Macaca mulatta: one gene and its partners. The protein of the gene in region 1 interacts with the protein of each later gene in a biochemical or structural test. Links are inferred from orthologs where the notes say so. Each region holds a gene or a part of one and is shown on either strand. Other genes may lie near its edges.

Evidence for each region.
Region 2: the proteins of CRYAB (region 1) and CS form a complex in vitro, tested with the Homo sapiens proteins (3 studies listed by BioGRID). The link is inferred for Macaca mulatta from reciprocal best matches to the Homo sapiens genes CRYAB and CS.
Region 3: the proteins of CRYAB (region 1) and SNCA form a complex in vitro, tested with the Homo sapiens proteins (4 studies listed by BioGRID, with this or other methods). The link is inferred for Macaca mulatta from reciprocal best matches to the Homo sapiens genes CRYAB and SNCA.
Region 4: of the proteins of CRYAB (region 1) and CCND1, one has a biochemical effect on the other in vitro, tested with the Homo sapiens proteins (2 studies listed by BioGRID, with this or other methods). The link is inferred for Macaca mulatta from reciprocal best matches to the Homo sapiens genes CRYAB and CCND1.
Region 5: the proteins of CRYAB (region 1) and CRYBA1 form a complex in vitro, tested with the Homo sapiens proteins (2 studies listed by BioGRID and IntAct, with this or other methods). The link is inferred for Macaca mulatta from reciprocal best matches to the Homo sapiens genes CRYAB and CRYBA1.

Annotation. Positions count from the first base shown.
Region 1 is NC_133419.1:112,657,534-112,661,621, reverse strand, and holds the start of CRYAB (alpha-crystallin B chain), read left to right. Parts: upstream 1-1,285; 5' UTR 1,286-1,318; coding exon 1,319-1,519; intron 1,520-2,309; exon of another isoform or gene 2,310-2,378; intron 2,379-2,600; coding exon 2,601-2,723; intron 2,724-4,072; coding exon 4,073-4,088. Other genes in the region: HSPB2 (heat shock protein beta-2), read right to left, coding at 120-213. UniProt on the Homo sapiens protein: May contribute to the transparency and refractive index of the lens. Has chaperone-like activity, preventing aggregation of various proteins under a wide range of stress conditions.
Region 2 is NC_133416.1:63,464,810-63,468,975, reverse strand, and holds the start of CS (citrate synthase, mitochondrial), read left to right. Parts: upstream 1-1,363; 5' UTR 1,364-1,503; coding exon 1,504-1,545; intron 1,546-3,007; exon of another isoform or gene 3,008-3,092; intron 3,093-4,166. UniProt on the Homo sapiens protein: Key enzyme of the Krebs tricarboxylic acid cycle which catalyzes the synthesis of citrate from acetyl coenzyme A and oxaloacetate.
Region 3 is NC_133410.1:99,154,552-99,158,720, reverse strand, and holds the start of SNCA (alpha-synuclein), read left to right. Parts: upstream 1-1,368; 5' UTR 1,369-1,557; intron 1,558-2,201; exon of another isoform or gene 2,202-2,267; intron 2,268-2,500; exon of another isoform or gene 2,501-2,704; intron 2,705-2,876; exon of another isoform or gene 2,877-2,921; intron 2,922-3,404; exon of another isoform or gene 3,405-3,538; intron 3,539-3,972; 5' UTR 3,973-3,997; coding exon 3,998-4,118; intron 4,119-4,169. UniProt on the Homo sapiens protein: Neuronal protein that plays several roles in synaptic activity such as regulation of synaptic vesicle trafficking and subsequent neurotransmitter release.
Region 4 is NC_133419.1:5,015,056-5,019,247, forward strand, and holds the start of CCND1 (G1/S-specific cyclin-D1), read right to left. Parts: upstream 2,803-4,192; 5' UTR 2,599-2,802; coding exon 2,401-2,598; intron 871-2,400; coding exon 655-870; intron 68-654; coding exon 1-67. UniProt on the Homo sapiens protein: Regulatory component of the cyclin D1-CDK4 (DC) complex that phosphorylates and inhibits members of the retinoblastoma (RB) protein family including RB1 and regulates the cell-cycle during G(1)/S transition.
Region 5 is NC_133421.1:37,967,972-37,972,022, forward strand, and holds the start of CRYBA1 (beta-crystallin A3), read left to right. Parts: upstream 1-1,245; 5' UTR 1,246-1,250; coding exon 1,251-1,281; intron 1,282-3,399; coding exon 3,400-3,464; intron 3,465-4,051. UniProt on the Homo sapiens protein: Crystallins are the dominant structural components of the vertebrate eye lens.

The DNA of each region.
Region 1 (4,088 bases):
GGCTGGTCCCAGGAGATCAGTTAAGCCCAGAGTGGGGTGGAGGCCAGTAACGTTGGGAGGTCAGCCCAGAATTTCAGGGGGTGGGGGTGGGAGGCAAGGGGGTGGCATCTGTGCCATACCTTCTCCGAAGCGCTGCTCACCCAGGCGGCTCGGGTTGGCAAATTCGTACTCAGCGGTGGCTGGGTGGGCATGTGGCACTGAGCGGCCCGACATGGCTGCAGATGCAGCGGGAGCCCTGGTCCGAGGTGCAGCCCCAACAGGCGCAGCGCGACCCCTCCAGCTGCCCGGAGAGCCAGGGCTCGATAGGAGGTGGGGGCGGGGTCGACACCACCCAAAATAGTGCCGAGCCTCTGGGGGGGAGGGGCGGGGAGTGGGGGCCCTGAGTGAGAGCAACGAGGGTGTGACCAGCGCCGCCTGGACCCCTAGTCCCCTCCCCCGCACACTCTTCAGCTGTCGCAGGGGGCCTGAGAGGACAGCTGAGGGTCCTGGTTAGGAACGAGCTGAGAAGGGGTAGCTGGTGGTGCCTGGGGCATGAAGAGGCCTCGCTGAGACCCTCACAAACGGTTTGCACGTTTCCACACCTCATTTTCTCCTCCTTGGAGGCCGGCACTGTGCACCCAATTCCTAAAGCACTCCTGGATTTAATGTTCTGAGAGCCACATAGGATGAAAGATGCAAGAAATCTTTCTGCTCTTTTTTTCAGGGAGTGGGGTCTTTCTGCCCAGATGTCGGAGTCCTCTCCTAAACCCAGGTCAACCCAGGGCAGGAGGCAGATGGCTGGTACTGACATGTTGACCATCACTGCTCTCTTCCAAGGACTCACAAAGAGTTAATGTCCCTGGGGCCCAGCCTAGGAAGATTCCAGTCCCTGCCCAGGCCCAAGATAGTTGCTGGCCTGATTCCCCTGGCATTCAGGACTGAAGAGGAGGAGGAGGAGGGGCACACTCCACCGCCTGCCCCCCCACCCGCCCGCGTGCCTGCTTGGGATTCCTGACTCTGTACCAGCTTCAGAGAACTGGGGTGGGGGTGGGTGCCACTGGGTGTGTACAGAAAGCTAGTGAAACAAGACCATGACAAGTCACTGGCCGGCTCAGACGTGTTTGTGTTTCTCTTTTCTTAGCTCAGTGAGTACTGGGTATGTGTCACACTGCCAAATCCCCGATCACAAGTCTCCATGAACCGGCGGTGAGCTAGGATAATAAAACCCCTGACATCACCATTCCAGAAGCTTCACAAGACTGCATATATAAGGGGCTGGCTGTAGCTGCAGCTGAAGGAGCTGACCAGCCAGCTGACCCCCCACACTCACCTAGCCACCATGGACATCGCCATCCACCACCCCTGGATCCGCCGCCCCTTCTTTCCTTTCCACTCCCCCAGCCGCCTCTTTGACCAGTTCTTCGGAGAGCACCTGTTGGAGTCTGATCTTTTCCCGACGTCTACTTCCCTGAGCCCCTTCTACCTTCGGCCACCCTCCTTCCTGCGGGCACCCAGCTGGTTTGACACTGGACTCTCAGAGGTGAGTCTCCCCACTGCTAGAATGGGAGAGTCCTTACTGGAACCTCCTGTAAACTTCTCCATCCATTTTCCTCTCCTTTCCTGCCTAAACCATTTTAGGCACATGTGTATCCAAATGTGAAGAAAAATGAGGAGGTTGCTAGTTCCTCCCTCCCCCGTCACCTGTTTCTACTTGATGGTCCTCTGTATCCCATTTATTACATTTTTTTCATGCACTGTCAAGTTCATCCTCCATCCCCTAACTTCTCTGCAGGGTACCCCTTTCTGGTTTGGTTCATAACAATCTGCAGGGAAAGAGCTGCCTTCAAACTCCTTTGCTCATCTCTTCTAACACCATGGACTCTTGACCAATTTTACCATCTCAGGTGTCAGAGCCAGGAGAGAGCCCTGCCTCACCCTGCCTGAGCTGTTCACCCTCATGGGCATTTTCTGCCTTTTTATTCCCTCTTCTGTGATTTTCTGGGTTTCTCAGGGCTGTGACAGGGCATTGGCCTGGGTCCAACCAAGCCTTATGAGGAAACAATATAGGGACCCCCACTCGTCCTAAGAGGGTGAGAGAACAGGGTGAACATATAAGGTTGACAGAAGCTGTCACAGATAACGCTCTGGTTTAAAAATATTCGAGTGTGAGTAAACAGGAGATGAGTGGGCAAGGGCTTTGGAAGGACAAGCAGGACCAGCAGAACATTCCAGATTGGGTGGGTGGAAAACTGGCAAAGAGACCTGAGCCAGAAGAAGAGGCCTTTGTCTCACAGACAAACCACAAAGCCAGGCATCGGAGCCAGAGAGGCAGCAGATGCCAGGCCTGCACCCATCCTTGCGACTGGTCCCCTGGGTGATCTGTCTTCTTCTCTGTCCCTGTAAATAAAGTTTGGGTCTGATCACCATGAGCCTTAGGTATCACTGTGGTGGCTCCCTGAAGCAGAGAGCCATGTTTATTTAAAAAGGGGATATTTTAAAGCAGAAAAGAGAAGGATGAATTACCTGGACAGAAAGCAACTCTGCAGAATAAGACAACACCAGTATAATGAGTACTTTCGCCATCTTTCTCCCGTCCCATTCCCTTACCTTGCTATTTCTAGATGCGCCTGGAGAAGGACAGGTTCTCTGTCAACCTGGATGTGAAGCACTTCTCCCCAGAGGAACTCAAAGTTAAGGTGTTGGGAGATGTGATTGAGGTGCATGGCAAACATGAAGAGCGCCAGGTATGTAGCTTGGTTTTTGTTTTCTGCTCATTCATTCAGTGTATACTGTAATAGTCCAGGTAGTGCTATCAGCTTTGGAGGCTGGCTACATTCCAGTCCCAAGCTATAATAGTCTAGATCAGGGGTTACAAATCAATGTCTAGAAGACTAAGTTAGGGATAGACCTATTGCTGTTGTTACTGTTGTTATGGCCAGAGATGTGGTCTTTGTTTGATTTGATCGCCTTAGATGGGATGATGGGATGTTGATGCCCCATCTTAGCCAGAGGTTCTGAATCTTGGCCACATTAGAATCACCAGGGGAACTTTCAAAAAACCTAATGCTCAGGCATATTCCAGACCAATTAAATCAGAATTTTTAGGGGTGGGACCCAGGGCATCAACATTTTTTAAGGTAATTCTAATCTACAGTCAAGGTTGAGGACCACTGATTTAGGTATAGGGCTGTCAGACACCTAGTTGCTTTGCATAATTACATTAACTACAGGTACCCTAAAGGCACTTGAGTTGTGAATTCTCTGTTAGCTGTGCAAGAATCCATGTCTCTTCTTTAGCCCATCTTAATGCTGAACTACTTGGTTTGTCTAAATTTCAGAGCTGTGCTCAGTCTTTAATCCCCTATAGCCCATGCGGAAATCAGTTAATGAGAGCCTGTTTGGCTACATGCTTGAGAGTCAGCAGGCATACGGGTTAAGGTCATCTACTCTTTGGGGGAATTCTGACGAATGGAACAGCTTTTCATGACTTTGTAAGAGGGCTTTAAAATTCCTTCTCACCAATTAACGATAGCTCAGCGATAGCTCAGAACCTGTGCGTCAACCAGTACAGTTTGTCCTTAGTAATGTCCTCAGGCTGTTTCAATTTTGCTCATATGATTTAGGTTTGGGTCATAGTCTCCTTGGATGGAGTCTTTTTTTTTTTTTTTTTTTTTTTTTTTTTTCCCCAGCAGCAGTCCTATTGTTCTGGAACCTTCTGGGACATTCCTGAAGAGTCAGGACAATTTCAGGGCTTCCTCAGGGACTCAGATTCTAAATGAGATTCCAAATTCTGTAGGCCCAGTCAACATTATCTAAACCTTTGGGAAATACTCCTAAACATATCTATGCCTCAGGGTTTGAAAAACAATGAAGTGTTGTACTGTTTCAGACTTCTCAGATTCTCACTGGTAGGAGTGACTACCTAGGTAACTTCATCTTAGCCACAACCCTGAAACAAAGCACTGTTTATTTTTCCTATGTTGTCATGGCATTTGGTCTCACCTAAGGGGAAATCAGGATGCCTGAGTTCTGGGCAGGTGATAGTAGTTCATATTCTTATCTCTCTGCCTCTTTCCTCATTCTTTTGGGTTAGGATGAACATGGTTTCA
Region 2 (4,166 bases), on another chromosome or scaffold:
TAAGATGCCCTGGTCCTTGGGTCAGTTCCCCTCTACCCTTGGGTCAATGACTACGACAGGCTTGGGGAGGCACAAAGGTCCTGAAGCCTTGTCTACCCAGAGGAGTTAGAAAGTAGTGCGGAATATCACTTCAGGGTCGTGTAACGGTCTCTGGGGAGCACAGGATGAGAGAGCATAGAAGATTGCCAAGTGGCCGGGTGCGGTTGCTCACGCATGTAATTCCAGCACTTTGGGAGGCTGAGGCGGGTGCATCACGAGGTCAGGAGATCAAGACCATCCTGGCTAACACGGTGAAACCCCGTCTCTACTAAAAATACAAAAAGTTAGCCGGGTGTGGTGGCCGGCGCCTGTAGTCCCAGCTACTCGGGAGGCTGAGGCAGGAGAATGGCGTGAACCCGGGAGGCGGAGCTTACAGTGAGCCAAGATCGCGCCACTGCACTCCAGCCTGGGCGACAGAGCAAGACTCGTCTCCAAAAAAAAAAAAAAAAAAAGGTTGCCAAGTGGAAGTGGCCCAGAGGCCCTAGAGAATGATGTGAGGAAAGGGGATCTTCGATGAGGGGTTAGTCTGCGGCTCCTAATGTATGTCTAGAGTGGGGTGGGCTGCTGTGTGGAGTTACGTGACCAGAGTGGCAGTGAGACTAATGCCCATGACCCAGAGACTGTGGCCGGCTTTGTAAGCCTTCATAGTAAGGGGGCAGTTGTTAAGACTTGGATTTCCTGCCATTATACATAGAACTGACAGCTCACAAAGCACTAGATATTCAGGCTCCTGCTTTTGCTTTTCTACCCATATCGGGGTCTGTTAGTATCTATAATGTCGTGGCCTCTGCTGACCTCAAATGATCTCCACCAAGCAACTAACTCTGGCATCACAGCCTGTTGTCCACATGATGTCGCCTCCATGGCCATGAAGCCATTAACCAAAGACATGCCTCAAGAAAGCGTGCCAAGGCGGTAGGAGGAGCAGGCAATGATCAGTTTCCATGATAGCTTATTAAGGAATTGGCTTCAAGGACCTTCAAAGATCGAGTCCTGGAGCGTCTCCTTCAGTATTCGCCTCAGAGATAACCCCAAATGTGTTAAGGTCAAAGGGAAAAGCCAAGAGGGAAGTTAACTGAGTTCTCAGGCACCTACTTGGCCACCCGCATTCCCCCGCCCGCCACCCATACACCCTTAATTAGCCCTAATCCGGGCGGTCCAATCCTCCCCGTCACAACTGCTGTCAAGGGCTCAGGTCCCGCCCCGCTTCCATACCGGACCAATGGCCGGGCCCAGGGAGAGTCCCCTGAGAGGGGCGGGCTCGGGTTCCGGCCGGTGGGCGGGGCCTCGCTGAGGACCCCGGGCTGGGCGCCGCCGCCGGTTCGTCTACCCTTTCCCTCAGCCGCCTCCTTTCAACCTTGTCCACCCGTCGGCGCGGCCTCTGGTGCAGCGGCGGCTGCTCCTGTTCCTGCCGCAGCTCTCTCCCCTTCTTACCTCCCCATCAGATCCCGGAGATCGCCCGCCATGGCTTTACTCACTGCGGCCGCCCGGCTCTTAGGAACCAAGGTGAGCAGCGAGGGGAGGGAGCACGCCGTCCCAGGGTGGGGCTGAGGCGACCGCAGGCCCTCCGGCGCCGGGGTCTCCCTCCCACACCCGTGCGCACCCTGCGCGCCTTAAAGGGCCCTGCGCTTGGCTGGCCGCCAGCCCTGCGTGAAGCTCCCGGGACCATGTGCCGCGCTTCCCTTCTGTCTCCTGGGGGTGAAGTGTACGCCGCCCGCCCTCGGCCAGCAGTCTAGGGCGCGTGAGGCGGCCGACCCTGCTGTCACCCCGCATGTCTGAAATGAAAGGGGAGGGGATGCGTGGCCCTGAAATAGGAAGGAGCTGAGACAGGAACCTCTGGTAGAGAAGAGATGTAGTGTTCCTCTGGAGTTACATTCAGTTTGGTGGAGGGAGCGGGAGTGAAGAGATGTGCTCACTCTGGAGCAGTGGCTAATTTCGTCCTCTGCTTTATAGGAAGGGCATTGTCAGTTCCCGAACTGCCTGTTTCCATTTCTCCAAGTCTATTATTTAAACCTTCGGTGACCACGCCGAGCACAAGAATGGGTCCTTCAGGCCCTCCTCTTTGTCCTTGGGACTCTTGCACTTTTTATATAGGAGGAGCTTGGGTGAGGTGGAGCATTTCTGTACAGCCTCCTGCATGACTATCATATATGATTGGAGAAAGAACCAGAAAGGTGGTTCCGCCAAACTGCAGGCCAATAAAGGAAGATCCTCGGCAAGAGATAGTAATGCCAAGGTCACATGACCATCATACTACTTGCTTACCCAGGTTTTGCCGTTGATCTTAAGTCTACTTTATCCAGGAACTTTCTCTCCTTCTTTGGGGTCCTTTACTTGGTATTGGCCATAGAAATACTGTTGCAGGTAATGATGCCTTCAATTTCAAATCGCCAGTACTTTTAGTTCTAGGTAACTTGGCCCTTTTAGACAGAAACTGCTGTGCTGAGGGAGTCCCAGCCCTCTAATCCAAGCAGGGGACAGTCCCACAAGTGACCTTGACTTCTGCAAAGAACTCAGTTTTTCCTGCGGATAATTTAAAGCTGATAGCACCTAAAGGAAAGGAAAGCTTTAGGATGGTTTTGGCTTGCTGTATGTAATTTTTTTTTTTTTTTTTTTTTGAGACAGGATATTGCTCTGTCACTCAAGCTGGAGTCTTCTGGTGTGACCAAGGCTCCCTGCAGCTTGAGCCTCTCCTGGGCTCAAGCAATCCTCCCACTTCAGCCTCCCGAGTAGCTGGGACCACAGGTGTGCACCACCACACCCGGCTAATCTTTTTTTATTTTTTAGTGGAGGCGGTGTCTCCTTTTGTTGCCCAGGCTGGTCTTGAACTCCTGAGCTCAAGTGATCTTCCTGACTCAGCCTCCCAAAGTGCTGGGATTACAGGTGTGAACCACTGCACCTGGCCTGCTGGGCATTATTTTTCATGGTTGGCACAAAGTGTAACTTGTGAGATTTACCTTGGTTCTTCCAGGCACCGAGTGGCAAGTACTAGCTGAGCATTTGGGAGATGCTTGTCTTACTTGGCTGTTGCTTCTCCTGCTGCTGGGGAAAGGGTAAGGAAACCTCTTGGGAAATGAAGCAAGTTCTAGATAGCGTTTTGGCAGAATGGGGGACACTATAATTAGCTCATTTTGGACCTGCTAACCCAGACCAGAGAGTCTAACCCTACAGTGAATGTGAAAAAGTCTTAGGATTTACCTATTGAATTTATTTTGCTCCTTAAGCCCATATGGAAGCTCAGAACACTTTTGGGGTGACAGAGCTACGTAATTATGGTACCATTATTTTCCTATTAGAGATGGCCTGGCGATCTTAGTAACCTATCAGTTGAAAGCCATTAGAAGGCTTTTGACCCTTAAAAGTAGGACAGGCGCGGTGACTCACACCTGTAATCTCAGCACTTTGGGAGGTGGAGGTGGGTGGATCACCTGAGGTCGGGAATTCGAGGCCAGCCTGACCAACATGGAGAAACCCCATCTCTATGAAAAATGCAAAATTAGCCAGGCATGGTGGTGGATGCCTGTAATCCCAGCTACTTGGGAGGCTGAGGCAGGAGAATCACTCAAACCCGGGAGGTGGATGTTGCAGTGAGTCGAGATCATGCCATTGCCCTCCAGCCTGGGCAACAAGAGCAAAACTCCGTCTCAAGGAGAAAAAAAAAAAGGGTAGCAAAGCCCAGTACACTCAGGACTGGAAATCTCCTGAGAAATAAGCAATATGACCAGGATACCAAGAAGCTTGTTGGCTTGTCAGCATTGCTGGCACCTACCTGTGCTTTCTAGATTAGCCTGTGGATAATGGTAGTCATAATTGGTAATTTTACTTTTGCTAATAAGGTAGACTTTGGGAGGCAGTAATTTCTCACCAGTGAGAACTGACTCTTACCACTTTGAGTGTCAGCGTCAGGTGTAGTTTTACTTTTCTGAGAAGAAAATTTTTTTTTTTTTTTTTTGAGACAGAGTCTCACTCTGTCAGGCTGGAGTGCAGTGGAGTAATCTCTTCTCGCTGTAACCTCTGCCTCCCAGGCTTAAGCAATTCTCGTGACTCAGCCTCCTGAGTAGCTGGGGTTAGCAGGTGTGCACCACCACACCCAGCTAATTTTTTGTATATTTGGTAGAGATGGGAAT
Region 3 (4,169 bases), on another chromosome or scaffold:
AATGCAACTGTCCAAAAATAATTATCTCACATTGGTCTGGTAATGAGACCTAAAATATCGCATTTTATTTACCTATTTGACTCAAAGCACCAGGTCTCAAAGAGGTCACTGTTATACTATAAATATGTCATATGAAATAATATATTAAATAATTGTTGTAATAGCCTATTGAAGTACTAGTTGTAATAAGACACAATGGAAAACTTACACTATTAACAATAATAAAAAGAAACAACAAAAAGCAATAAAAAACAAACCACCGATTCATGCAATGACATGAATCACCTCACAAATACTATGCTGAGTAAAAGAAGTCAGACAGATATAAAAAAGTTTATACTACGTGATTAGACTTTTATGACATTCTAGAATATGCACATGAAGGGTGCAAGGTAACTGTCTGGAGTGATGAAAATGTCCTGTGTCTTCAAAATAGTGTGGGTTACACCAATGCATGGTTTTTTCAAAACTGATTTAAAGGGACACAACATCTGAGCATTTCACTAGGTGTAAATTACACTGAAATTTAAAAGAATCGTCTAATGACATTGTGGTTATTTTTAAACAGTTCTTAAATTTTGTGGATGCATACTGAATGTTTACAGTTGAAAAGATGTATATAAAGCTTGAATTTTGTGAAAAAAAATAGGGAGGATTGGTAGTGATAAAGTGAGTGGACTTATGAATGAGACATGATATGCCATGCATAGAAAAAATGTAAAAGTTGGGTGATATTCACATGGGAGTCCTTTATTCTTTCTACTTTTGCGTATGTTTGAATATTTCCCATAACAAAAAGTTGAATATAGGGCGATCACCTGAGTTCATCTCCTCATTTACAAAAAATAAAACTGGAAACAGAAGGAGAACATAACTTGTTCAAGGTCTCCAAGCCAGACAACAAACTAGCTCCCAAGTCCAACCTTCTTGCTCTGGTCCTAAGCAAACACAAACTATTAATATGAGCTACTGCGTTATGGAAAGTCTGTTTTTCCAAAGGGCAGACCAATAGTTCAAGGAAGAGTTTAAGTAATAAAAATTTGTAATCTTACTTTCATGTTTTTCTATTTTCCACTGAACACATAGGCATTATCTTCTATATGTCTTTCATGTATAATCATTTGTTTACTATTCCTTGTGGTTTTAAAGTTGTTTTGTATGTTTACATTTGATTTTACTCAAATTTCAGAATCCAAATGAGTGCAAGAATCAGACAAAGCATTAGCTACAAACATAAAAACAATTTTTAAAAAACACAGCAAAAACGAGCTGTTGTCCCCGCCCCCCCCGCCGGCCCCCACCAGTGCTTAACTAATCTTCGGAATCCAGGCACAGAAAGCAAAGGCTTTCTGCTAGTGGGAGGAGCTTGCTTCTCCATTCTGGTGTGATCCAGGAATAGCTGTCTTCCAGTTCTGAAAGAGGTGAAAATGTGTTAAGCGATGCAAAAATTGTCTTGAGGTTCGCGTGTGTACGTCTGTGTGTCTGTGCATGTGGTGGGTCGGGGGAGAGAAAAGGGGATGTCAATTCTGAGGGCAACGAGAATTAGAAGTCAGAAAGGTGAGTGGCGTGTAGCATCTCCCTTTCAGAAGGGGCTGAAAAAGAAATTGGATATGATGGTCTGGTAGGGTAAATCACGCTGGATTTGTCTACCAGACCATGCACTTAGGTCTGCAAAGTAAGTCCCATTTCTAGAGCGAAAAGCCTTAGGACCGCTTGTTTTAGACGGCTGGGGAATATTTATTCCTCGTTCCGCTGATGGGAAAATCAGCGTCTGGCAGGCGCTGATTGGTGGAAAGGAAAATGGTGATAGTGGGGTGGGAAGAGGATTTGCTGAGCCTCCTCCTGCCTCCTCAACCTGTAACTCTTCCTTAGTAGTCTCCGATTCACCCGCGGGACCCTTTCGAGCTCGACCTGGATTAAGAGCAAACGAAAATCTTGAGGATATTTGAACTAAAGCGACCCTTAACGTAGCCTGTGACCGTGATTAAATGTCAGCGATGCGAGGGCAAAGTGCTCTCGGCGGTGCGGTGTGAGCCACCTCCCTGCGCTGCCTGTCTCCCCAAAGGATAGGCTCTGCTCTGGGTGGTCGACCCTCAGGCCCTCAGCTCTCCCAGGTCGACTCTGACGAGGGGTAGGGGGTGGTCCCAGGGAGGACCCGGAGGAAAGGCGGGGACAGGAAGGGAGGGGAATGGGAAAGAGGGAGAGTCGTCAGCCCAAGCCCAACCGCTCCCAATCGCCACAAGAGTGCCCGTGACCCTGAACTTGAGGTGAGGCGCAAAAGCGCCCCCACTTTCCCGCCTTGCGCGGCCAGGCAGGCGGCTGGAATTGGTGGTTCACCCTGCGCCCCCTGCCCCATCCCCATCCGAGATAGGGAACGAAGAGCACGCTGCAGGGAAAGCAGCGAGCGCTGGGAGGGGAGCGTGGAGAGGCGCTGACAAATCAGCGGTGGGGGCGGAGAGCCGAGGAGAAGGAGAAGGAGGAGGACGAGGAGGAGGAGGACGGCGACGACCAGAAGGGGCCCGAGAGAGGGGGCGAGCGACCGAGCGCCGCGACGCGGGAGTGAGGTGCGTGCGGGCTGCAGCGCAGACCCCGGCCCGGCCCCTCCGAGAGCGTCCTGAGCGCTCCCTCACGCCTTCCCTTCAAACCTTCTGCCTTTTTCTCCATCCTCGTGAGCGGAGAACTGGGAGTGGCCATTCGACGACAGGTTAGCGGGTTTGCCTCCCACGCCCCCAGCCTCCCGTCGTCGGCTCACAGCGGCCTCCTCTGGGGACCGTCCCCCTCCCGGTGCCGCCTCCGCCCTTCCTGTGCGCTCCTTTTCCTCCTTCTTCCCTATTAAATATTATTTGGGAATTGTTTAATTTTTTTTTTTTTTAAAGAGAGGTAGGGAGGAATCGGAGTTGTGGAGAAGCAGAGGGACACAGGTAAGTACCTGTGGATCTAAACGGGCGTCTTTGGAAATCCTGGAGAAAGCCGGGTGGGAGAGGAATGGTCGTGGGCACCAGGAGGGGGTGGTGCTGCGGTGAGGACCTGCTGTGCCAGGTCTCTGGGAGGTGAGTACTTGTCCCTTTGGGGAGCCTAAGGAAAGAGACTTGACCTGGCTTTCGTCCTGTCAAGGGCTTCTCCCCAAGGGCTGAGAGATTAGGATGCGTCTCCGGGATCCGCTTTTCCCCGGGAAACGCGAGGATGCTCCCTGGAGCGTAAGCATCCAACTTTTATTTCTCTCTTACCTGAAATCCGTCTGCCCGCTCTCTTGGTTTTTCTCTGTAAAGTAAGCAAGCTGCCTTTGGCAAATAATGAAATGGAAGTGCAGGGAGGCCAAGTCAACAGGTGGTAAAGGGTTAACAAGTGCTGGCGCGGGGTCCGCTAGGGTGGATGCTGAGAACGCCCCCTCGGGTGGCTGGCGCAGGGTTAGAGACGGCCCGCGAGTGTGAGCGCCGCCTGCTCAGGGTAGATATCTGAGGGCGGGGGTGGATGCTCGGATGTATTAGAACCAGCACCCTTGGGCTCGCTGTTTGCCTGAGGTTGAACCACACCCAGAGTGAGTAGTTAGTTCTCTTGCCTACGCCTCTCCACCATCAACCTGTTAGCCTTCTTCTGGGATTCATGTTAAGGATGCCCCAGACCCTAAGCCTCCAGCTTCCATGCTTCTAACTCACACTGTTACCCTTTAGACCCCGGGAAGTTAAAACAGGAGTGACTCTTTTCATGCAACTCCACTTCTGAAATGCAGTATTAACAACTCAGAGGATTCATCCTAATCCATGGTTAGGTGGCTAGACTTTTACTAGCCAAGATGGATGGGAGATGCTAAATTTTTAATGCCAGAGCTAAAAATGTCTGCTTTGTCCAATGGTTAAATGAGTGTACACTTAAAAGAGTCTCACACTTTGGAGGGTTTCTCATGATTTTTCAGTGTTTTTTGTTTATTTTCCCCCAAAAGTTCTCATTCAAAGTGTATTTTATGTTCTCCAGTGTGGTGTAAAGGAATTCATTAGCCATGGATGTATTCATGAAAGGACTTTCAAAGGCCAAGGAGGGAGTTGTGGCTGCTGCTGAGAAAACCAAACAGGGTGTGGCAGAAGCAGCAGGAAAGACAAAAGAGGGTGTTCTCTATGTAGGTAGGTAAACCCCAAATGTCACTTTGGTGTTGGTTCATGACTGATGGGTTA
Region 4 (4,192 bases), about 110 Mb from region 1:
TGAAATCGTGCGGGGTCATGGCGGCCAGGTTCCACTTGAGCTTGTTCACCAGGAGCAGCTCCATTTGCTGCGAACACAGGGTGAGCGGCCATCAGGGGAGGTGCGGGCCGGCCCGGGGGCGCGGGGAAGCCGGCAGCATGGGGGCCCGGGGCCATGCAGCACCTCCGGCTCAGAGCACTGGCTCCTGCGTCTCGTGCGGTCCTGGAGGTGGGAGGGGAGGGCTGGCGAATGATGGGGGTGGTATCGGGGAGCCGGGGCAACACGCGATCCCAGATCAAAACAGAAAAGGTGCCCGCTGCGTGAAAAGACTCTGCAAGTGGAAACAAAAAGACCTCCCACCACCTGAAACAGGAGGCTCAGTGCGGAGCGCGGCGCTCCTCGTGCAGCCGCTGGAGGGCGCGCGCCGCCCACTTTTCGGCCACACTGCCGGGCGCGAACGCGGTGGGAGTCGCAGGCAAGCGACTTGGGGGCGGTGGGACGGGGGCGGCTAGGATCCCGCCCGCTCCCGGGACAGGGACGCCCGGCGGCGGGGCCGCCCTCCCTGGGAGCAGATATGCCAGAGGCGGGCCGGCCGCCACTGCCTGCACCTTCCCCGGCCCCGTGATCCTGCGTGCGACTCTCGGGGGGCAGGGGGCGGCGGGGTCCCGCGGTTACCAGCAGCTCTTCGGGCCGGATGGAGTTGTCGGTGTAGATGCACAGCTTCTCGGCCGTCAGGGGGATGGTCTCCTTCATCTTAGAGGCCACGAACATGCAGGTGGCCCCCAGCAGCTGCAGGCGGCTCTTTTTCACGGGCTCCAGCGACAGGAAGCGGTCCAGGTAGTTCATGGCCAGCGGGAAGACCTCCTCCTCGCACTTCTGCTCCTCGCAGACCTGCGGAGGCACGGGGCCCGTGACCGCCGCCGCCAGGTCGCGCCGCCCCACCCCCGCCCCCGCACCCCCCCATCGCGCTCGGCAGGACCGCCAGTTCTGAAGGGCGCCGAGGGGTGGGGGCCGGGGGCGGAAGGACCTTCCTGTGATGCGCCCCCTCCCCCGCGCGTCCCCAGTACCCACCCTCCCCGAAACTGAAAGGGAAAGTCCCCGCGAGGCTGGCACGGTGGGGGCGGGAGCGGGCACAGCTGGGCGGCGTGCGCGGCGGCGCGGGCTGCCAGCCCTGGGGACCCCGGCCCGCCCTGGAGCTCCGTGGTCCCTCTGACTGAGGGTCGACACCCACTGGGGTGCGGGGCCGCGGAACGGGCCGCGGGGTTGGGCGCCGCGCCTGCGAGACACAAAGGTGGCGTCCCAGGCCGCCGCGCCGCATTTCCCCAGACGTCATCTTTTCAAAAAATATTTAAAAATATTAAAAAAATAACTAAGTGCATAAAAAAACCCTGAAAATGACCCTCGGGCGACCCTTTACCCAGGCCGAGGGTCGGGAGTTCGTTACAGGCTCCGGGGGGAGCCCCAGGAATTCAAACTCCGGGGCCCCCCTTCCCCCTGGGCGCGGGCGGCGTTTCCCTCTCGCAAGGGCACCACGCCGCACTTTCAAAAATTATTTAAAAATACTTGCGGGCCCCTCAGGCGCCCACCGAAGGTCTGAAAATGTGCTCCCAGGCCCCCGGCTCCCTCAGAGAAGGTCCCCCAAGCCGAGATCCCTGCAGACGGGGATCAAGCCCTGGCGTCTTGGGGGCCACGCGACCTTGCAGCTCGGCGTGCTCTCCGGCCCTGGCTGCCCATTTGGGGCGCCCCGGGACTCGCTGCTTAAACAAAGGGCCCCCCTTCCCGAGCGGGGTCCCCCCAAAACTCCCCATGCCGCGTCCCTGCGCCCCTCCCGCGGGCTCCCGGCGGCCGCGCGGCCCCTAGCTGCGGCCCCAGCGCCCGGCGGCCGCTCCCCGCCCCCACCCTGCCCCCAATTATTAATAAACACTTTTGCTTTGCAATAAAAGAGCAAAGATGGCGCATAATACTGGCACGAGCGGCCCTTGCATACGTGTCCATGGATATTAATTTAAAAATCAAATCTATGCCCCCTCCCCCCGGAGTTGGCGGCTCTCGGCCGCAGCGGCCGCGAGAGGAGGCGCAGCCGGGCTGGGGCGCAGGCGGGGGGCACAAAGCGCACTCAGCCTGCCAGCCCGCACCCTCGGGCCCATTGGGGTGCCCCGACACTGGCTTCTCCCGACGGCACCCCTCCCCAACCCCCTTCTCCCCTCCCACGAAACGCAACTTATAGCACCCCCACCCCCACCCCTTCCTGCTTCAGAAAATACCCACAATTTTTATTTTTAAAATGCGGATCCCTAGCAACACCACAGCAAACTTCAAAGTTCTAGCGGGAGAGAAGGGAGGGGGGTGAGGAGCAAAGAAACGTGGGTCTGGGCAACAAGTTGCAGGGAAGTCTTAAGAGAGCCGCCCAAAGCCCCGCACCTCCAGCATCCAGGTGGCGACGATCTTCCGCATGGACGGCAGGACCTCCTTCTGCACACATTTGAAGTAGGACACCGAGGGCGCGCAGGTCTCCTCCGCCTTCAGCATGGCCCGCAGCACCCGGTCGTTGAGGAGGTTGGCATCGGGGTACGCGCGGCGGATGGTTTCCACTTCGCAGCACAGGAGCTGGTGTTCCATGGCTGGGGCTCTGCCTGGGCAGCTAGGGAGGGCTGTGGGTCCGGGCTGGGTCCGCGCTCGGCTCTCGCTTCTGCTGCCCCGCGCTCCCTCGCGCTATTCTGCCCCTCGCCGGAGCGTGCGGACTCTGCTGCTCGCTGCTACTGCGCCGACAGCCCTCTGGAGGCTCCAGGACTTTGCAACTTCAACAAAACTCCCCTGTAGTCCGTGTGACGTTACTGTTGTTAAGCAGAGATCAAAGCCGGGCAGAGAATGGGAGCGGGAGGGGGGCGGGGGCGGGCGCAGGGGGAGGGGGCGCGGGCGCCAAACGCCGGGAGCAGCGAGGGGCAGAGCCCAAAAGCCATCCCCGAGGCGCCGCGCCTGCCCTGCGGCGGAGTTGCCCCCGTAGTCCGGTTTTCATAGAAATGCAAATCGCCCCGCTGCAGCCTTTCTCCCCGCCAGGGAAGAGGGGTGCAGGGGGCCCCGTCCGCCTCGAGTGGGTTCCCTGGGATTTAGGGGGTGAGGTGGTGGTGGCTCTGCAGTAGGGGACCACTAGGAAGGCCGGCAGGCCACACGCAGCCTGGGGAGACCACGAGAAGGGGGGACTCTAGGGCGCGGCGACACCCCATATCCAAGCCGGCAGAATGGGCGCATTTCCAAGAACGCCACGAGGGCACCCACGGGCGGACAGACGGCCAAAGAATCTCAGCGACTGCATCTTCTTTCATTTTCATTAACACGTGTAAATTTCAAGAACTATTTAGCATACAGGGACGGGGAGGACCGGGCACACAACCCCTGTGCAAGTTTCATTCCGGCGCACAGGGGCGTCGTTGCAAATGCCCAAGGGGGTAACCCTAAAAGTTAAAGGAATTTCAGCTTAGCATGCGCTCGCTCAAAAAATAAAATAAAATAAATGCCCGAAAATTCCAGCAGCAGCCCAAGATGGTGGCCAGCATTTCCTTCATCTTGTCCTTCTAGCCTGGAGACTCTTCGGGCTGCCTTCCTACCTTGACCAGTCGGTCCTTGCGGGGATCCCCAAATGCACCCCCTCCCTTCCCGTGCCGGCAATTTAACCGGGAGAAACACACGTCTGAATGGAAAGCTGAGAAACAGTGATCTCCGTTCTGACTCATTTTTTTAATTAAAAAAGAAATTAAATTGCTGGAAATATTAGTCGCCTCAGCCTGGGACAAGACCACTGGAAGGTTCCTAATTGGTTTTGTTGGGGGTGTAGACGTCCCTTCACCTTTAGAGTTTGCCCTGGGACTAAATTCGTGAGCATGAGGGGGCTGGCAGGAGCGGGCATAATTCAGAACAATTATCAATTAAACAAATGAGTGTACTGATCTGATTTTTAGCAAAATCGATAGGTGTTCGTGGTTTCATGAGAGGGTCCCCACTACCGCAAACTTAAGCAGATGTAAATTAAAATACATAGTTTTTAAAATAACAGGTTCTGTCTCTTTGGTGCATTAAAAAATAAAAGGACATTTTACTGTCTTAACTTTTGTTTTTGTTATTTTAATAGTACCTGCCCCAAATTAAGAAAACTGTTCATTTACTTCCTTTTGAATATAGTTTAGTGTCATCAAACCACCGTATCCTCTTAACAGTA
Region 5 (4,051 bases), on another chromosome or scaffold:
GAGGTATTCAGAGGGTTGCCTTCTTCCCCTTCCTACTGCTGCCCAACGATGGCCCGCAGGCTGAAAGAGCCCTTTCCTCCTGGAACTGACATGGGACCTGGCCTGTTTGGGAGCAGAATGGTGAAAGGAATTAACATTAAAGACAAAGGGACAGGCAGTCAAGGTAATTTGAGGAGGAAAAATTGCTTCATTTCTAGGCTCCTTCCCCTTTTGAAACAGATAAAGTTGCAACCCTTATATGCTCAGTGTTTATATTCAGAATTGCAGTTCTAGCCAGGGAGGTCTCTTTCCTCTCCCGGAATTTTCTGGGCCATTTATGCATTACTCCTGAGGGAGGGCCAGTGCAGGGCAGTGACTTTAGAACTGGGTTTGAGTCTGGGCTCTGCCATTATAAATATTGTGACCTTAGGCAAGTCACTTGATCGTTCTCTGTCTTAGTTTCTTCATCTGGAAAAGAGGTGAAAATAGCACTGTTGTGGTGGCTGTGGGAAAGTATTTCTTTCTTTTCTTGTGGAAAAGTATTTAATTCAAACCTTTCAAGTAAAGCATTTAACACATGTCTAATATATAGGAGTTATTCAATAAATGGTTTAATTCTTTTTTGAAAACCCCAAAAGTTATAGCTCCAAAATTTTAAAAGAAAATTACAAAAGTAAAAGGAATATTTAATAAAATAGCTACAGAGAGACTCATGTCTGCTAGTCAACTACAATTGAAGTCAACTCTTACATAGTTATATATAAATACAGCATAAAAAAGATTCCCAAGAATACAATGAACCATTTTTTCTCAATAGAGTTCAGAATTATAATAATTCTTTCACATTTTTAAACAACAAGAAATGCATATCCTGTATGGAAGTGAGGTGCATTTTGATGTGTTTGATATGACATGGGGTCTCCCAGGGTCTAGGAAGATCCTAAGGTGGTGTGAGGAACCTGGAGAAGGACAAGAGACAAATACTCATGGCAGAGACCTCTGTCCTCACCCCCTAGCTGCTCTAAGATTAAGAAAGACTAGAGCAGCCAAGGCCTGCAGCAGCCAGCCATGCCCACAACAGAGGGGCCTCTCTGGATTTCTGTATCCCTGGTTTAAACAAAGGCCCAAGGGATGCCTGCCCAGCAAGCTGAACCACCAAAGCTCTGGGGATCAGGGGGAACAAAGGCAGAGGGACAGCAGAGTGCTGACAGGGCCAGAGGCCAGAGGCCACAGGGCTATAAAGAGGGGGGCCACAGAGCAAGTGGCACCAGATGGAGACCCAGACTGTGCAGCAGGAGCTGGGTGAGTAAGGCCCTCAGGGTGCCCTTGCCCTTCCTCTCCTTGCCCTGCAGAGACATGACCAGGAGAGGGCCCAGTTCTCCTGCCTAGTGTGTAGAGCCTTCTAGGGTGGCTGGAGAAGACTGGGGAACTCTGGCGGAAGGCAGCCTTCTCTTGTCATCCCAAGAGGAGTCACTTATATAGCAATAACCACTGCCCTAGCAACCAAGGCTGGGGGGTGGGCATGAGCCCCCAAGAAATGAGCAGGGAGAAGGTATGGGGGCAGGACCTGGGAAATGTTGCTTATTCAGAGATTGAGAATGGAAAGATATATTACAGAGTTTACACGCATCATTCCTGGGCCCAATACCAGCCAGATGGAGGGCCATGAATATCTGTCCTAAGTCAAGAAACCTAATACACACCTGCCTGTCTTCCTTCTTCCCTTCCCCCCGGCTCTTTTCCTTCCCCTTTCTTGCTCTGTGATTCCTTTTTTCAAACTCATCCTACCATCTTTACTGTCTACCTAACCTCTATGAGCCTCAGTATCCTCATTTGTAAAATGGGGATAATGATGATTCTTAATTCATAGGCTTTGTGTGAAGATTAAATGCGTGAATGCAGGTAAGCATTTAAAACAGGGCCAGACATGTAGATAGCCATTGTTGAGTGTTAACTACTGTAACTCTTCTTCACTTTCCTTCAATAAGTCTTTTTCAATGTCTCCCAATCCCTCATCCCCACATGTGCTCAGCATGATGCTATACCAATCCCCTAGAAGACCCAGGCCTTGCCATTGAGGTGCTCACCAGGACATCCAACAACCAGAATAGAGATTGGTACTGTGATGAGTGCCAGAAATCAAGAAAGAAGGCAAGTGGCTGTGGGCTGGAGAAGGCAGGAAAGCATCTGAGGAGGCAAGGTCAAGGTTGGGTAGGACCTAGGAGATAGAAAAGCAGAAAGGAATGGCCAGGCACGGTGGCTCAGGAGTTCCAGACCAGCTTGACCAATATAGTGAAACCCCTGTCTCTACTAAAAATACAAAAATACTCCGAAGAAAGAAAGAGAGAGAGAGAGAGAGAGAGAGAAAGAAAGGAGCCAGATAAGGATGAGACCGTGAAGGGTTACAAGGGAGTTTGGAGCTTGGGATCCTGGCATGGCTGGCTGTTTGGCCAGTCACATGAGGGGTCTGGCCTAGGCGGTTGCCAGAGAGTTTATATTGTGGACAGAGGCAATGCTGTCACCTGAAAGCAAATGAGAGGACGGGGTTACAATGCTTGTCAGTGCTTTACCTGCATTATTGTTTCTGATCCTTTTGTTTTTTTTTGAGATGGAGTCTCACTCTGTTGCCCAAGTTGGAGTGCAGTGGCGAGATCTCAGCTCACTGCAACCTCCGCCTCCTAGGTTCAAGTGATTCTCCTGCCTCAGCCTCCCGAGTAGCTGAGACTACAGGTGTGTGCCATCACACCCGGCTAATTTTTGTATTTTTAGTAGAGACAGGGTTTCACCACATCGGCCAGGCTGGTCTCAAACTCCTGACCTCAGGTAATCCACCCGCCTCAGCCTCCCAAAGTGCTGGGATTACAGGCGTGAACCACTGTGCCCAGCCTATTGTTTCTGATCCTTACAATAACTCTGCACGTTGAAGCTTTACCAATGGAAAAACTGAGGCTCAGTCTGGGTGCGGTGGCTCACGCCTGTAACCCCACCACTTTGGGAGGCCGAGGTGGGTGGATCACTTGAGGTCAGGAGTTCAAGACCAGCCTGGTGAACATGGTGAAACCCCCATCTCTACTAAAAATACAAAAACTAGCCGGGCATGGTGGTGCATGCCTGTAGTCCCAGCTACATGGGAGGCTGAGGCAGGAGGATCGCCTGAGCCTAGGAGGCAGAGGTTGCAGTCAAGTGAGATTGTGCCACTGCACTCTAGCCTGGATGACAGAGCAAGATCCTGTCTCAAAACAGCAACAACAACAACAACAACAACAACAAAATCCCGAGGCACAGCTAGTGAGCGGCAGAGCCAGAATTCCAACCAAAGTCTGTCTTGCAGACTTCAAGTCTCCTTTACCTTTCAAGGCATTCCGTCACCTCACCCTCCTCCCCAGAGGCCACCTCATTCATGTGTGCTCTGTCTTCCAGAAACCCTTCCAACCACGAAGATGGCTCAGACCAACCCTACGCAGGGGTCCCTGGGGCCATGGAAGGTAAGCCCACCCCCATCACATCCAACAGGGCAGGGGTGAGATGCTGCACAGAGCAGGCCCCAAGCCTGTGCTCATCCATGAAGCAGTGACTGACCAGAAAAAACCCAGTTTGTAGGGGAAAGGTCCACACAAGCTCCAGTGGTGTCAAAGGAAGGATCTCTCAGGATGTCCTGTTGGACAAAGGAAGGATGACTCTGGATGCCAATGATGGGTGGGAGATGATACCTAGTTTCCTAACTCCTCTCTCCTTCCCACTAAAGTCATCTTAAAATACAGCAGCCCAGCAATGATTATATCCATGGAGAAAATGAGGGCCCATAAAGAGATTTACTACTAGATCCCAAATCAATTACAGGACTCAGCCTCCCAGCCTGAGGTTGGCTTTAACCATTGGCTGAAGTGGCTGATCCTCAGGCCTCTCACTGGCCTCTCTCCAACACTCCCCATTCTCCTCATTGGGTCAACTCTGAGGCCAACTCACAGCTTTGGGAGTGGTCCTCTGGCCAGGTCCACAAGCCAGGTTTTAGTTCAAAGTGCAAAAAGGTTGACCATAACTCTCCTTTACACCCTAGGTTTCTATGGGGGTG